2 linked regions of the Arabidopsis thaliana genome follow. The protein of the gene in region 1 interacts with the protein of each later gene in a pairwise test. Each region holds a gene or a part of one and is shown on either strand. Other genes may lie near its edges. The genes, in order: AGL87 and ARF11.

Region 1 (4,572 bases):
TTTAATAGTGTTAAAATTTAGATAAATATATATAAATTGTTAAAAGACATAAAATTTACAACTGTCGCCTTTCTACAAGTTGTAAACTATGAATAAATAATTTAAACAGAAAGGTAATTGCTTTATGACAAAAACAATTATGAAATAGTTGATAAAAAAAATTATTTACATAAAAACATTTATCCTTTCTGGCCAAACAATTAATTAAGACTGTTGCAAATTAAAATAAAATGTAATCAATAATAATTTGACAGTTACGTAGACATAAATTATAGAAATTAATTAATTTAATATGTTTGATTTATTTTAAACAAACTAAGACAGATATGTGACATTTTCAATAATTACAAATATTAATTTTGAATTTGAGTAATTTAGATTTTTAAAATTGAACGATATAATAGAGTTTAATACGGTAAATTTTTTGCATCAAAGTTGAAAACAGACATATATATCATTTGTGTATCCAATGAAAGATTAGGCTTTCAGACACATTTATGAATGATATACATGAAAATATATTATTTATTGAATTAGCTACAATCGATTGTCTATTAATTTCTGAGGTGGATAGAACATACAATAGATTGTTGAAATAGATAATTAAGCGGAAAAAAATAGATAATTAAGCGAAATAGTTTTTTCATTCATCGACTATAAGCGAGATATATGAAAAGCAGATAATCAAGATAATATGTTTTCTTTGGTAAAAATTAAGCCAAAAGATTTTATGTAACATATAGAACATTAGGCTGACTAAAAAAGATAGAAATAAAATTAAAACAACAAACATATAAGGGAGAAAATCTTCCTAAAATATAAAACAAATCTGGTCATAAACTGAAAAGATCATATTACACCATACAAAGGCCAAAGAGATTCATATCATTCTCCTAATCCTTCCTAGAGTGCAAAAGCAAATCATTGAACAGAACTTTAAACACCATCAATCGAAACCATCTTAATCTGAAAATAATTAAAAACCATGAAATAAAAATGATAAGAAGTTATTTGAAAACATCATCCTAGTCTCTCTTGATGATTGGTGCTCCTGCTTCAACAGCCTTGATTCTCTCTCTGATGGCTTTGAGCTTCTTATCAACCACATCAGCTGCTCTGGCCAGTTCCTCCGAACAATCAGTATCGGTGATTAGATCATTAGACCCAGCCATTAACCCAAGTTTCATCGCACGAGTATGCATCTTCTCCTTCTCCAACTTCTTCTCTGCGTCTTGGATCATCTTGTTCATGAGATCCTTCTGGTCCATCATGTATTTGGTCTGCTTCTCTACCGGAAGTTCGCTTAACCTGTTAAGAATAGAACGAACCTCGTTAAGGTTTGGCCAGAGCTCAGGGCCATCTTTGTATTCGCTGTAGATGATGGCACAAGCGGGTAAACCACATAGAACGGTCAGTTCATAGATCTTCTTCAATAAACCATCTTTGCGTTTTCTGAATGTAACTCGGCGAGTGGCGTTGTCAGAAATCAATTGGTGTGTAACTTTTCTTCTTCCCATGGTGAAAAAAAAAAATGAAGAAGAGAAGAGGATTTTGGGTGGTTTTAGGGACTAGATGGGTAAAATGTTATATAGAGAGTTTCTAACTTTGATTTTGGCTAGGTCCACAAAAGACGTTTCATCAAATTATAGAAAGGTATTATTTAAATATTAAAAAGCAAATTATAGAAAGGTATTTTTAAATGTAAAAAGCAAATTATAGGAAGGCTGTAACAGAAAAATACATATAAGATTTAAGGGAAAATATAGATATAAAAGCTTTCTAAATAAGAAGATTTATATCAATTTATTTTCATTTTATTAGTTGTCTTGTGTTTGTTAGTCTAATGAACCTGTAAAAAGAGGAAGGTAATATTTGCCTATTAATGTCCCTATATATGTTTTACCATATAAACAAGTTTGAACTTTTTTTTTCTTACACTAGACCAATCAGAAAGAGGATATGATGAGTTGTATATTTGTAATGTTGTAGACATGCATTTTCTTTACATAATTTTATTATACTACTGACAACAAGAAATTAATTTATCCTACATGTCAGTTAAACATTATAATTGGTAATCACAGAAGCCTATGCGTGGACAAAAAAAAAAATTGTTGAAAAACTCTGTGAGATTTAAAAATATATACAAAAGGCAATATGTAATAAAAGTTATGTAATTATCAATAAGAGTATCTCTAATTTTGTCTTTTTACATTTAATTACATTGTATTAAATATTTTCTTCCATTATTAGTCATAATAGTCTCATTACATTACTGATTTTAACTTTTCTAGTGTTAGGCCTTTATGATTATGATTTTTAAATTTGACTGACGTATGTAATTTCTGATGGTAAAAATAGTTATTCTTAATAGAGTTAATGAGTTATAGTATATACACATGTAGGAGGTGTGCATATATGTAAATATTTACAAATTACAACACATCATATTCTCTTCTATTTGGTCTATTGTAAAAAAAAGGGTCAAACTCTCTAATATGGTAGAACATATATGGGAACAGTAATAGGCAAAATATTTAGTTACATAGTTATTAACTCATTGGCTGTTGTGATTACTAATTGTAAAGTACTCGATTGGTATAGTTATATACACACTGATTCACTTCACACATACGAGGTGTGTGTGTGTAATATTGTATACTATTAAGTAATTATGTAAAAGCTAAATATGTAAGAATAATGATCGAAGCTTAGTTAATGAATTTTATCTAATATTTGAAATTATAATTCAACTACTTTCCTCAAAGTTTTCTAGTGAAAACTTATTCAAAAAAAAAAAAGAAACCACTAATTCAGCAAGAGAGAATAAACAATGAATGGGTAGACCAAACAATTGAAATTCCGTGGACATATATGTAATGTAATAGGCTAATAGTTAGATTAATGAACTTACCGTCTCACGGAAGGACTCCTTAAAGATCTGCAAGCCACTCTGACCGATTTGGTAGATTCGTTCGTTTTACTGTCGTCAACAATGAAAAAAATATAAAACAAACGTTAGATATCTAAAAATTAAGGGTTACTTTCAACAACAACAACAAATTTTGAAGAGTTAGACAGTAATTTTTTGTGTGGCTATTGATAGAGTCTCATCGCCAACACTCATGTTGAACTATTAGAAACAATACATACAAACATCGTTTCGGTGCCATTGTCATCGTCGATGTCGCTCTAAGAAACAGATCTAAAACTTTTAGAGAAGATATGGATATGTGGTGAAATGAGATGAATGGTGGATAATCTTATATTTATTTTAAAATTGGGCGGAAAAAACTATATTTTCGTAACTCTTTTTTAAGTAAGCAATATTTAGTTTTTTTTTTCTTTCTATTTTGTGACGCGTGTTATAAACTATTAAATATGAAATTAATTTTACATTTAAGATTCTGTAAAATGAGGAGATATGCATATATGGTGAAATTGAAATGTATGGTATATAATTTATTTATTTGTTTGTTTAGCAATTGAGCAAAAACTATTCTTGTAACGCTTTTTCATGTTTGACATGTTGATTTTTGTTTTTTGTGACACGATTTGTAATATAATGATATAATTATTAGCTTTTTAATATTTTTTAAAATGATGAAATTTACTTTGTCACACCTAAAATTGATAAAATTTTGTATTTTTTTAGAAATCTAATGTTAAATTATATTAAAAAAAAATGCAAACGTTTATACATCGAAATGCAAACTTTTCTTAAAACCGAATCAAAATATGGTTCAATCTATCTATCCTTGACTTTGTTGTGACGCAAACCACACTTAAAGTCCTCCAATGTATTTTTCTTCCCCTTTCATTGTTATGGTGCTCAAGCGGTTTCTCATATTTCTATCAATCAGCTTGACAAATTTCTCTTTTCTTGATGGTTTTTCTCCGTGTCTTCTATCATTCCTTTCACGCCAAATAGAGTGTATCGTGTTTTGGAACACATACCTTAGTATAAACCTTTTCGTTGTGTCTCGGTTTTTGTTCGCAAGCTCCCTCATGATATCCCGCCATTTTTCAGTGAACTTGTTTGCTAGGATCCCCCGTGCCAGCTCCTCCCACACCTTTCTCGAATACGGACATTGGAAGAACAAGTGCTCTCTTGTCTCCAAAGGATCTTGGCATAAGACACAGCTTTGATCTGCATTTTGGTTTCATTGAAACATCCTTTCCCCTGTTGCTAACCTGTTTTTCATCATTAACCAAGTGACAAACCCATACTTTGGTGTAGCGTACTTGCAAAATTTCGTACTTGCAAAAGAAGTTTCTACGAACTTAATGATGACGGAAAAAAATACATATGAAACACTCTACATAAACTAGTATTAAAATTCTTTATCTGCATGGTTGTTCCTTAAGATAGTTAGAGATCATTTTTGGGAAGTAAATAAATTTCCACTAAAACTTAAGACATTATTTGAAACACCGGTACACCGGTATAGTGCCTTCTAAAGAACATTCAATGTTCAAGACTTCCAAGTCATAATATTTTTTGTTTGACTTTAAAAGAGAGGAATCCATGTAAATATAATTTATTCGATGTTTGTTTGTATCTTTTCGTGA
Region 2 (5,740 bases), on another chromosome or scaffold:
TTAAATTTTTATATTTCACCTATACCTAATACAGAATACAGTGTCATTGCTTTGACTCCCTCCACCAACAAGTGAAAAACCTAATAAAATTTTACTAATAGAAAACGAATAGTGGAAGAAACCATGTAATGTCCAATCAACCAGTAAATCGGTTTAAAATATATAAAAAGTCAGTATTCTTAAGTAGAAAGATAATAAATTTGTGCAATAGTAATCAAGATAGTAGATACGCCGTTGGAATCAAATCTTCTTTTCTTGAATGTGTTGTTAACTTAAGCCAACCATTTGATTCTCTTTACTGCAGCTATATTAATTATTAAACACCAATGCAATAACCATACATTTCTTCGTTTTATTTAGTCTGTATATTCGATCATGACATCATTCTCCCACACTTCCAAAAAAAAAAAAACAATTCGATGACGATATCTATATTAGTTGAGACATGCATATCTACAATACGAATATTCGTTATTCTCATTTACTGATGTGGCGATTATGATTTATGACTAAACGAGTGATTAACTATATACAAAAAGTAACAATTAAAACAAAAGTAATAGAAAAATATTGTGAAATGAAAATTCCAGTGTATCACTAATGAAGCAATTAAGAATAGAAAACTAATACTATAATGTTTATATTCCCATCCGTGCGTTTCCATTCACTTTAAGAAATGATCATATTCGCAACCAACAATTTGAAGCAAACGGTCCTCTACTTTTTATTGTTCGTTTTCTCTTTACCGAATTTTAAAATCACGTTAATTATCTGTATAACTACCTTTTTGCGTTGAAGTATTTACAACTTGAGTAAAATGTAGATTCGTATCAGGATACAAACACACAATAATACTATTCAGAGTTCTTAGTAAATTAGTTTCCTTTTGCAGCGATTTATTTCCGTCAAGTGTATAATATAGTTAACCAACATAACTTAAGTTAAAATTTCCCAAGTATAGATATAACAGAAGATCAAATATCGACTCGAAACTGAGTTATAATTAAATTAACACGTGAAAATAAATAGAAAAACAAGAAAATATCTCGCACGCTTTCCAAAGCCCTAGAACAATAACGTTCGATGGATTGGAAAAATCTCTGCTGGTACATTCACGAGCCAACACGTTTGCCTGCCACGTTCCAGACACAAGCTAGAAAGTAACGGCATCGTCAAATCTAACGAGACTCATCAAGGAACAATTTATAAACATCAATTTCTTTTTGGTTTCACACGCCTTATTATGGTAAGAAACTATTTTTGCCTATTGAATGAAAAAAATTGATAAGACATATGAAGGATGAGACCTAACTATAGTCTTAAGTACATAACATTTACTACTACTCAAAACCGTTGTCTTTAATTTTAACGGTCCACATTCGTTCTCACAATAATTGACCATACGTTTGTTTAAATACTTCAAAGGAAAGGAAAAACAGCAAGACGTTTGTGAGGTAATGGACAAACGACACGTAGTTTGAAAGATGAGAAGGAAGACAAAAAGGCATAGAGAGGAGGAAGAGAAGGAGCGGTTTCGTAACTGAAACTGAAAAAGCTTTAAGAGAAAACCCGGAAAAAAAAAAAGAGAAATATTTTAATCAATTCTTCTTTATCACAAAGAGTGCCTTTGTATTAATGAATTTTGATGTTGTGTAATGAATACAGACATAACCGTCGTGTCTCGTCGTTAAAGAAACGAGAGTTTTTCAGCTCTTTACTTACCTTTTCTTCTTACCCTTCTTTCATGACTCTTCTTCTTTGATGGGTTAATAATGCTTTGAGCTTGATGATTTCGATTTTAGTTTCCTGTTAGTGTTTGTTTTCTTCTGTAAAGCTTGGATTTTTTTTGGTTTCTTCGATGGCGAATGTGGAAGCTGATTTCAGAACATCAGGTGAGTTCAAATTTTGACTTCAATTTTCTCAAGTTTTGAATTTTCTTTTTCTCTTGGGAAAAAGTCAACATTTTTAACTCTAATCATGAGCCAAACAAGCTTAGAGCCACTTATAATTTCTATTATAAAGCTTCAAATTTTGCAACTTTGGTTGAAATTGATAGCTGTTGGTTGGAATTTAGGGTCTAATGATGATGAATTGTACACGGAGCTATGGAAAGCTTGTGCAGGGCCACTTGTGGAAGTTCCTCGTTATGGTGAAAGAGTTTTCTACTTCCCTCAAGGTCACATGGAACAAGTAAAGAATCCAAACTCTTAAGATTATTCCTTGTTTTGTCTTTCTCAAGTTTTAAGATTTGAATGTTTGTCTTTTGGCAGTTGGTTGCTTCGACTAATCAAGGAGTTGTTGATCAAGAGATACCAGTGTTTAATCTTCCTCCAAAGATACTTTGTCGTGTTCTTAGTGTTACGTTAAAAGCAGAACATGAGACCGATGAGGTTTACGCTCAGATCACATTACAACCAGAAGAAGATGTAAGTTTAAAGAATCTTGAATTAATGTGATAAATTCAGTGAATTTGATTTAGATTTTGTGTGTATTTTATTATGCAGCAAAGTGAACCAACAAGTCTTGACCCACCTTTAGTAGAACCAGCTAAACCAACGGTTGATTCTTTTGTGAAGATTCTAACAGCTTCAGATACAAGCACACATGGTGGATTCTCTGTTCTTCGTAAACACGCCACTGAGTGTTTACCTTCACTTGTAAATGCTTTTATCTTTCCATCTTCATTTTACAGAGTTTGGGCCTTTCTTAGCTGAATTTGTCACTTTATGTTTTGATTTTTGATTTTCAATACTTAGGATATGACACAACCTACACCGACTCAAGAACTTGTAGCTAGAGATCTTCACGGCTATGAATGGAGGTTTAAGCATATATTTAGAGGTAACAGAATCTTTAAGAGAGTCTCTGAAAGCTTCTTTTAAGAGTCTATTAAGTTTTGTCTTATTTGGATAGGGCAACCGAGGAGGCATTTACTTACAACCGGTTGGAGTACATTTGTAACCTCGAAAAGACTTGTAGCTGGAGATGCATTTGTGTTCTTGAGGTAGCTAAAGATCTTGTGTCTTTACTTTCGGGTTTTACTTCATGGGGTGGTTAACAAGTAATCTTCTCATGTTGTTTTTAAGGGGTGAAACCGGGGATTTACGGGTTGGTGTGAGGCGTTTAGCTAAGCAGCAAAGCACGATGCCCGCATCCGTTATTTCGAGTCAGAGTATGCGTTTGGGAGTTCTTGCTACAGCTTCTCATGCTGTTACCACAACAACTATATTTGTTGTCTTCTATAAACCAAGGTTAAGTTTTAAACTTTCTCCATCTTGTATAGGTTGCTAGTGGAAGGGCTTTAAGCTTGACATTGTCTGTTTTTTGTTCAGGATAAGCCAGTTTATAATTAGTGTGAACAAGTATATGATGGCGATGAAGAACGGGTTTTCTCTCGGTATGCGGTATAGGATGAGATTCGAAGGAGAAGAGTCTCCTGAGAGAATGTAGTTTCTCATTTTTTGCTTTGTTCACTTGTTGATTTTTTTTTTATGAGTCCTCTCTTGAATGTTGTTGTCTGAAATTTTAGAATGGTTTCTTCTTCAGATTTACAGGTACCATTATTGGCAGTGGAGATCTATCTTCTCAATGGCCAGCTTCCAAATGGAGGTCATTGCAGGTTTAGTGAATTGGAATCATTTTCTAGAGATGATATATATCATATCATTCTTGTTGCATACTTTCTGTAAAATCTCTTCTTCATATGTTTAGATCCAATGGGACGAGCCATCTTCTATACAGAGACCAAACAAGGTCTCACCGTGGGAGATCGAGCCTTTCTCACCATCCGCGCTTACACCAACCCCTACTCAACAACAATCAAAGTCCAAACGGTCCAGACCAATCTCAGGTATCTTCAAAAACAATCAACTCTTTTAGTAATTACTGAAACCGGTTCTAAGAGTTAACTAAGTTTGATGTATTGCAAGCAAGATCTCTGATACTTGATTCAAGATTATCTCTCTAATGAATCATTCTCTAGAGATGATATATCATATCATTCTTCTGTCCTGCCTTGCAGAAATCACAGGGAGTCCTGTAGCTTCTAGTTTCTTGAGTAGTTTCTCGCAGAGCCACGAGTCTAATCCATCGGTCAAACTGTTGTTTCAAGATCCAGCAACCGAGAGAAACTCAAACAAATCAGTGTTTTCAAGTGGATTACAATGCAAGATAACCGAGGCTCCGGTCACAAGTAGTTGTAGGTTATTCGGATTCGATCTCACGAGCAAGCCTGCTTCTGCTACAATTCCTCATGACAAGCAGCTAATAAGTGTGGATTCAAATATATCTGATTCTACCACCAAGTGTCAAGATCCTAACTCTTCAAACTCACCAAAAGAGCAGAAACAACAAACATCCACAAGAAGCCGAATCAAGGTAAAACAAACCATTACTCTTTTTACTAGAGAAACTCAATAACTTACAAATTTTTGTTATTTCTCAAATTCACCACTTTGTTTCTGTTTGTTCCTTTTAAGGTGCAAATGCAAGGAACAGCGGTTGGACGCGCGGTTGATTTAACATTGTTGAGATCATACGATGAACTAATAAAAGAGCTAGAGAAAATGTTTGAGATTGAAGGAGAACTTAGTCCTAAAGACAAATGGGCTATCGTGTTTACAGACGATGAAGGAGATAGGATGCTTGTAGGAGATGATCCATGGAAGTAAGTTTCTCTCAATCTCTTTCTTCAGCTTAAAGCTCTCTCTCGAGTTCTTAACAATTGTGTTTTGTTGACAAACTCTCTTGAATGTTGCAGTGAGTTCTGTAAAATGGCAAAGAAGTTATTCATATATCCGAGTGATGAGGTCAAGAAAATGAGGTCGAAGTCGTTGTTGGGTGATAAAGGTACGATCGTAAATCTTGAATCAGATCAGAGGACAGTTCACGTTTAACTATCAAGTTGTTGATTTCTTACTTTCTTGGAGACTCTCTCAAGTCTCACCAAGTCCGAGAGTTAGGTGGTTTTTTTTTTTTTGGTTTTTTTTTTGGCGTTAGGTGGGTTTGTTATTTACTTGTTTAACATAAAGACTATAAAATATACAGTTATTATATACGAGTATATCGTATTAGGTTTCAAACGACGTCGTTTATGTAAAGTGTTTGCTTTTCCGACGTGGCTTTCGTCGTCATGACTAATGAATGATGTGTTAGCAATAACTTAAAAAAGGTCATATTTTTCTAATGTTAAGATTTTGTGTGGGCCTAATAAGATCGACGATTAACATGGTAGTAGTAGGCCCAAATACTGAGGCCATAACATTTTTACTGTATAAAATTTCTTCTAACCTTCTTATTTATAGTCAGTTGACTAATTAACCCAATAAAAGACCTATAAAAGAAAAAGTGTCAATGCAATACACATGTTTAATAAAGTTGATCAAATAATATTAGTATGATAATATACTTGTTAAATGAATAATTAATATGTAAGAAGACAAATGGAGTTAACCTGCTCCCTTTTTATTTTGTTTTGTCACAACTCACAAAAGAACCTGCTCCCTTAATCTTGTGTTTCGCGTAACAAAAGACCCACCTCCCTTTTTTTGATTATTATTATGGACGTCTTATTGAACATTTTGACTTTTTTATTATTGCAAAAACCCTCACCTAAGACCACTTTCATCATATTTTAATAATTTTTCCTAAACTAAATTAATCATCATTATAATCTTAAGACTTGCGAGAACACACTAAGCTTGAGAAGAAATCATAAGCTCGGTGTCGGTGGGAATGTTTT

Evidence for each region.
Region 2: the proteins of AGL87 (region 1) and ARF11 interact in a two-hybrid assay, tested with the Arabidopsis thaliana proteins (one large-scale study listed by BioGRID).

Annotation. Positions count from the first base shown.
Region 1 is NC_003070.9:7,980,456-7,985,027, reverse strand, and holds AGL87 (AGAMOUS-like 87), read right to left. Parts: upstream 2,915-4,572; 5' UTR 1,518-2,914; coding exon 1,026-1,517; 3' UTR 721-1,025; downstream 1-720.
Region 2 is NC_003071.7:19,103,135-19,108,874, forward strand, and holds ARF11 (auxin response factor 11), read left to right. Parts: upstream 1-1,977; coding exon 1,978-2,190; intron 2,191-2,270; coding exon 2,271-2,426; intron 2,427-2,504; coding exon 2,505-2,657; intron 2,658-2,756; coding exon 2,757-2,841; intron 2,842-2,913; coding exon 2,914-3,004; intron 3,005-3,086; coding exon 3,087-3,251; intron 3,252-3,332; coding exon 3,333-3,446; intron 3,447-3,546; coding exon 3,547-3,619; intron 3,620-3,711; coding exon 3,712-3,850; intron 3,851-4,021; coding exon 4,022-4,377; intron 4,378-4,478; coding exon 4,479-4,666; intron 4,667-4,759; coding exon 4,760-4,895; 3' UTR 4,896-5,197; downstream 5,198-5,740. UniProt on the Arabidopsis thaliana protein: Auxin response factors (ARFs) are transcriptional factors that bind specifically to the DNA sequence 5'-TGTCTC-3' found in the auxin-responsive promoter elements (AuxREs). Could act as transcriptional activator or repressor.